Linked DNA regions of Mus musculus. The protein of the gene in region 2 interacts with the protein of the main gene of each other region in a biochemical or structural test. Links are inferred from orthologs where the notes say so. Each region holds a gene or a part of one and is shown on either strand. Other genes may lie near its edges.

Region 1 (3,652 bases), on a different chromosome or scaffold from region 2:
ATTTTATAGTTCTTTCAGAGAGAGGGCTGCTGATTATAATCCACTCTGCCATTTCTTATAGCTAGACTGCTCCATCTTCCTGTAACACAAGAGAACACTTTCTTATCAGAGTTATCCAGCCAGTATATGTTGATCTCTTGGTTCTTTCAAACAAAAATATCCTACCTCATGGCTATGGGTAGTAGCTCACATACCAGGAAATGAGAACACCATAACTGGAATGATTTTTTAAATTTAACTTTAAAAGCTATGACATTAAATTTGAACATAGTTTCATAAGAGGAGGAAGTACATGTGCTTACTATGTTTACTTTTAGGTAAAACTATTTACAAATGAAGAAAATATGGTTACCTTTACACTCCGGAGGGCTGTTACTCCAGGTGTTATGGCCAGCACAGAATATCATGCTTGTTCCAACAAGGGAAAACTTATCTGGCCCTGGGGTAGGATCACAACTGTAACTTACTGCTTCATGGTATTTGAATACATTTATATCAGTAAGGGTATGTGTTCCATTTTTTATTTTTGGAGGTGGTAAACAATAAATCTCTTTATAAAAAGAAAAAAGGGGAAATAAAAGTTAAAAGTGATGTAGTGTCTTTATTCACTACAGTCTTAGAAAATTCTATAAATTATCGTAAACAAATTCTTCAATACAGGATTTCTATGTTATCTATAACTTATAGAAATTTCATCTAGAAGACAGTTTCTCTGATAAAATCCATCATCCCAAGTTTAAACCCCTAAGAAATGACCTTTTAGGACAAATACTCATTTTTCTAAGGGAAAACACAAAGTTTATTTGTGAGACCATGCTAAATTTTGTGCTACTTTATAGAAAAGATGATGATCAGCCAATGAAAAACTGTGATGTAAAAAAATTAAACTGAATGAGAAATGTGTGTTAAGAGACAGCTACATTCATTCACTAGCCTGGTGGCTTGCAATCATACTAACATATTATCATTTATCATTTTTCATCCTCACAGTACAATCAGCTTTTTGCAAAAGCTACAAATTTTGATAATCAAAGGAATTAACTCCCTATATCTTCCTCTAAGCCAAATATTGAAGAGATTACAAAACCGTAAAGCAGTGTCCCTAGCCTCACTTTTTGAAATTTCAGTAAAAACATGTGAGTTTATTGTCCTTAAAAAGAAATAATTATTTTAAAACATCTTTAACATGATTACTATCTATAGATATAACCACAGAGAAAAGATTTTTGGGCACTTATCAATCTAAAATTATAATAGGGTCCTCAGGCCAAGAGGTTGAGAACTCATATTCTAAATTTTAAAAAGAGAATTTACTTACTTTCACAATGTGGGGGATAGCCATTCCAGTATGCTTCATCATCACCTTTAAGCACACAGTGTAGAACTGACATACCAACTACGTAATAACTAGATAGCAAAGAAAAAGTTACTATTTTCTTTGGTAGCTGGTAAGATACACATAATAATGAAGGACAGTTTTAATTGACTTCCCCTTAATATAGTAGTTTGAGGGACAGGTTTTTTAAGGTATAATGAAAGAATTAAACAAATCAAAATAAGCTTTAATCAGATGAATAGTTTGTGAACACACACTGTTATATCTAGGAACATCTGATGTGAACTGGAATCTTTGCTATCTCCTACAATCATATAAGTATGCATCTGAGCCTTTGCTCATCCATTCTGCTCTGAGAGGATGAAGCAGAGAAAGGATTCCTTAGGAAGGTCTGTCTGGGTTCTCGTCCTAGCTCCATGACTGCTGGCCACTTAACCTTTGGCAAACCATTTAAAGTTTCTTTTGTTCCTCAACTAAAAACATACAAATAGATAGGTGTGGTGGCATACAAGTTTAATCCTAGAACCCAGGAGGTAGAGGCATGCATGTTTCTGTGAGTTCAAAGCCAGTTTAGTATACACAGCAAGCTCCAGGCATACATAGTGAGACCTCTTGTAAAAACAAAACAAAACAAAAACAAAACAAACAAAATTAAATCAAAGATTTCATAGTATTGTTCAAGAGAATTAGATAAATTAGAGTCTGGCACACAGCAAGTAAAAATAATGTTAACTCTTACTAATATTATGATCATAATGTCTTCCTAGAAACAGATCAGTATTAATCCTATCAAGTCTCCCATGATTTAAATGCACAGATTGTTATTGTGGACCCCCATGTCACCATCATGAAGTATTCTTATCTGGCATTTTTTTTGTTATTTTGTTCAGTAGCTTCTGTATCTACTGGATTTCTCAACAAGATTACAGTGTCTTTGAGAAAGATTTATGCCCTGAATGTTTGGTTCCCTAAACATGCCTAGAAAATTTCCTCCACATAGCTTTAACTGAATGTGTTTTTACGTGATAGTTTAAAAATTATCAATGAAACTCTGTTTACAGATAGTCATAGCCTACTTTCCCCAAGACTTGTAATTACTTCTGAGAGAGTCCTAGAGAATAAAAACTGTTACTCAGTGGCTAATGTCTCCTTTTGAGATGGTTCAGGTTAAGTAGCAGTCTAGAAAATAATGTTTCCCAACTGAAATATCCTGTCATATGGTGGTTAAGATGAATCATCTTAATTTTTGACTTGCTAATACCTTCCAGAATTCTCCTTTGGTTAGTAATTCTACCTCAAGTTCATTATAACCCTACTTCAACCTTGAATTGGCAGTAAATATACTTGACTGTGAAGGATAAGGTCACCATAATTACCCACCCTCTTTGGATCTGTATCCCGGACTGGCCTGGAACTGACTGTGTGTCCCAGACTACCCTCAAACTCATAGAGACCCGTCTGTCTCATCCTCCTGAGTGCTGAAATTACAAGTATGAATCATTATCCCTGGAAGATTTTCCCATTCTTAATGTTTATCATAGACTTTTTATTAGATATAGCAAGTATTATACACACTTGTTTTCCTCCAATTTCTTTATTTATTAAATATCTCTCCTACCACTATAAAGGACCCAAATATTGTTTGGTTAGGGGCACGGTTTGTCATTTAGAAGCAAAATGAAAGTATATTTATTTGAATGCTTAACAACAGAAGTACAACAATGGAATCAGGAACATTTACCTTATTTCCCATAATGAGCAACTTACCCTTCCATACAAGTAAATTTAGCTCGAGCACCCCATGAAAAGCTGCCATCTATGTAGTATACTTTGCCAAATGAAGGGTCTTGTAACATAGTACATTGAACTTCTAGAAGAAAATAACAATAAAAACTTTAATATAGCTCCAGTGCCAGTTGCACTTGAATCAAAGTCAAAATCATATATAGTTCTTTTGAGATTGTGGATTATTTAATAATTACATTGTAAGAGTGTGGTGGTTTGAATAAGATAGCCTCCATAAAGGCATTTGAATAGTGGGTTCCCAGTTGTTGGCTGTGTGGGGAAGATTAGGAAGTGTAACCTTGCTGGAGGAAGAATGTCACTAGAATGAGGTGTGCTTTGAAGTTTCAAAAGACTTGTTCTATTACCAGTATTCTCACTGATCCTACTTGTCATTCTGAGATGTGAGTTCCCAGCTCTTTCTGCCACTGTGTCTTAACAACCATTATGTATCTAACACCTGAGACCATAAGCCCAATTAAACCTGGTCATGTTGTTTCTCAGTGTCAGAAAAGTAACTAATACAAAGGGCAA
Region 2 (3,652 bases):
GCTTAAGTAGGAGTTTCTTTTCCCACAGACTGAATTTGTTTACCCCCTCCCTGTTAAGAAATTGGTTACACCCGTGTCCTTCCTCTGCCACGTGATGACAGCTCCTCCCACAATGTCAGGCACGTGCACTGGCCATCCATCCCCTCTGACTGCTCACTTGGGTCACTTGACTAAAGCAGTCTCAGCAGATGTGACCCGAGAGGCCCTGTAACAGAGCTTTCCCAGTTGAGCTGGCCTCCCGTGTGCCTGCCATCTATCATGAGAAGAAGAACATGCCTCAGAGATAGCTAAGGACCAGTTGACCAGAACTGCGCCTGGAATCAGTGCTCTGCCCAGCTATCATGCTACAAGCCACAAAAATGGATACTGCAAGCTATTGGGTTTTAAGGAACTTTGTTACATGGCAACTAAGTGGCAACAGAAACCCATAGGTACCACCCTGCTTTGTTCCCTTCCCCGTTGAGCATGGTGCACCCCCCCCCCCCACTGTGAGCTGTGGTAACTGTGAAGCCCACTCAATTCAGAAGACACACCCTGGCATGCCTACCTTCATGGCACTTGGCACCACTATGTCCTGGAGGGCAGATACACTGGTAGCCATTGATCTCATCCACACAGGTGGCCCCAAAGGCACAAGGGGAAGACTGGCACTCATTGATGTCTAGGAGAAATGAGGTCAAGTTCAGACTTCGGTGGGAAGTTTTTTCACAGACATTGCCCAAAAGCATCCAAATGCTGATACAAACTTGGTGAATTTCCATGCACACAACACACAAAGCCTGTACCAGCCCCTGACTACCAAAGACCACAACAGTTCTGATTCCTAAATCTGAGAACCTCTGCAAAGGGAGCAATTTTCCCTTAGCTTCTCTCTCCTCTGACTTTACACCAAGGCTGACCATCGTTCCCTGAAAATGGGTCAGAGCGAGCATTTTAACTTCATAGGCCATAAAGTCGGTCATAACCAGTGGTGTCTGGTGGCACCCTGTAAGCAGATGCAGGAAATAGACAAGCCCAAGTAAGGACAGCCAAGTGCCAATAAACTTCATTTACAAAAACAGGTGGGACAGATGCCTTTGCCAAACCCGCTTTAGAAGGTGAAACAGATATAACTTACTCACCTAGTGCTCAAGTCCAGCCCATCTCAGATTATGGGACTTCAAATACAACTAACATTTTAAAGTTTTGAGGAAAAAAAAAAACAACAACAACAAAAATAAGAGTTTTCCTACACTGTTTTGTGTGGGAAAAAGATGTTTTAAAAAGTAGGCAAAAAGAAAAACAAACAAAACAAACACTAAGAAAAAACCTTACTCCTTGATCCTACTAATTGTTTCTCTGGGGCCTGGTCAAACCCACTACAAAACAGTCTATGGAGCCAGAGACAGCCGTCTTCATGGACAATGGCTTGGCCATAATTTCATGCTAATCACGAGGGATGCATACACTTTTTTCCCTCAGGGCTCTCTCATAGCTTAATTGTCAAATTCTATGGTTGGCACTCTCCCCGAGAACAAAGAAGGCTGTGCCACCCAGAGAATGACGAGGGAGGACAACAGCGAGGGACTTTTAAATCCAAGCTAGAGGGAGGAGAGGGCTTGAGTTGTCAGGGTTATTTGGAATTATGGTCTTCATTGTTTTTAAAGAGGAAAGATTTGAATGCTGAGGAGGACAGACAAGGGGACATCAGATACAGTGACACTTACTTATCCTGCAGTCTGGCCCAGCAAAACCCGGGGCACATTCGCACCGATACCAGTTGTCTCCGTCCACACAGGTCCCGCTATTGTAACTAAGAAACCAAAGGTGACCTTAGTTACCGACATCCAGGTCCACAACATACCCAGCACTTGGAAGCCGTGCCTGCCACAAACACAGGCTTTCACCCCAGGCCATATCTGCTGCTGACCGAGGAGCTTAAAAATACTGATGCCTGGGTCCTACCCCCTGAGAATCTCATTTCCTAGGTCTCAGTCGCAACCCAGGGATTGGGACTTTTAAAAGCTCCCCAGGTGATTCCCCTGTGCAGCCTGAGGTTGAGAATCATTGCACTAAATGAAGACACAACCTGGATAATTAAAGTGTGGTCCGCGGAGCAGCAGGGCAGGGTCACCTGGGAGCTTGTTAGAAACACACAGCCCCACCGCAGACCTCCTGAATCAGAACCTACATTTTCAGCATCATCCCGGGAGATTCCCATGCATCCTAACAGCCAAGAACCAGCTTAAGAGGTTGCCGCACTTACCAAGGATGGGGACTGCAGTCGTTGGTATCTGCAAAGAAAAGACAACAGCCTTGGGGGTCTCCATCACAGCACCATTTACTTATTTCCATAGCACCCAAATGATAAAAGTCACACTTAATACCAGTCAAATACGCCGAAAACCTAGTCTAAATTGGAAGCAGGCCTGGACCATACTCAGTTTCATTTGCTGTGGGACACATGTATACAGGAAGAGGCCCTTGTAGGGAACAGGGAGTAGGGAGGGCTGAGAATGGGAGGAGGCAGGCTGCTGGTCAGACCCGCGGCTGGGAACAGAGTCAGCATCTGTCTCCACTTATCTCCCAGGGAACTTTCTCATGCCCAGGTCAGGGCTGCAGCCCATCAAGTCATTAGTAAGGACCCAGGTGATACGAAAGCAGACATCAAACAGCTGTGCTTCTGGTTTCGATTCCAAGTCCCCATGGGTATTTTGGGTAGGCTGCAGCAACCCAGAAAGAGTTCAGGGGAGGCCACTCACTTTGAGTACAAATAGGCCCCTCCCAGCCTTCTTTGCAGACACAGGTGAAGGAGTCTCCATTGACCACGCAGGTACCTCCATTATGACAGGGGTTCGGCAGGCAGCTACTGTTTCTAGCTATAAAACAAAAACAGGTTAAGACCACCCTTTTCCAGAGGATCCAAGGTGGTCTAAGGGGCAGAACCAGACCCAAGGAAATGATCATTTCCTAAGAGCCTGGCGGCAGACCACCTCAGACAATAGCCTTGCCCGCAGCAAATCCCACCTAGGGGGCAGAAGGTTACCTATATTACAGGTTGTTCCTTCCCAGCCACCGGGACACATGCACTTAAACGTGTCCACTTCATCATAGCAGGTACCACCATTATTACACGTGGCTTCGTCACACTGGCTGTCACCTGAAGAAAGACCTTAGCATGAGTCTCTCTGCTAGAGAGTTCCCCTCCCTCAGAAGACAGACAGGAGACCCCGGCAGCAACACTTACGGGAATGGCAAGTCTTTCCTTTCCAGCCATTTTTGCAGTCACAGTAAAAGTCATTGACCAGGTCTCGACATGTACCCCCGTAGTGACAAGGGTTCTGGCTACAGTCATTTATGTCTAGAACCAAAGAGACACAAGGCTGAAGAAGTCCGTCATGATAAGGGGCAAAGCTCGACTATGAGAAGATCCAACCCTGGCTTTCTATGCTATCTTCCAAGAACAAGTGAGATGTCCTAGGACCTCAACTTCATCATCAACCTTTTAGACAAGTTCTCGGCTAGGCGGAAAGAATACAAGTTATAAAGAGCACACAATCCTCCGGAATGCCCATGGCAATTAAAATCAAGATGGTCAGAAATGTCAACAAGTCAGAATACGTGCCTGGAAAGAACCTAACTGCCAATCTAATTCTATCATCCCCCAGTGGTG

The links.
Region 1: the proteins of Jag1 (region 2) and Cd46 form a complex in vitro, tested with the Homo sapiens proteins (2 studies listed by IntAct, with this or other methods). The link is inferred for Mus musculus from reciprocal best matches to the Homo sapiens genes JAG1 and CD46.

Annotation. Positions count from the first base shown.
Region 1 is NC_000067.6:195,082,230-195,085,881, forward strand, and holds part of Cd46 (membrane cofactor protein precursor), read right to left. Parts: intron 3,207-3,652; coding exon 3,104-3,206; intron 1,408-3,103; coding exon 1,319-1,407; intron 551-1,318; coding exon 353-550; intron 1-352. UniProt on the Homo sapiens protein: Acts as a cofactor for complement factor I, a serine protease which protects autologous cells against complement-mediated injury by cleaving C3b and C4b deposited on host tissue.
Region 2 is NC_000068.7:137,085,371-137,089,022, forward strand, and holds part of Jag1 (protein jagged-1 precursor), read right to left. Parts: intron 3,341-3,652; coding exon 3,227-3,340; intron 3,140-3,226; coding exon 3,026-3,139; intron 2,859-3,025; coding exon 2,742-2,858; intron 2,274-2,741; coding exon 2,246-2,273; intron 1,793-2,245; coding exon 1,707-1,792; intron 662-1,706; coding exon 548-661; intron 1-547. UniProt on the Homo sapiens protein: Ligand for multiple Notch receptors and involved in the mediation of Notch signaling. May be involved in cell-fate decisions during hematopoiesis. Seems to be involved in early and late stages of mammalian cardiovascular development.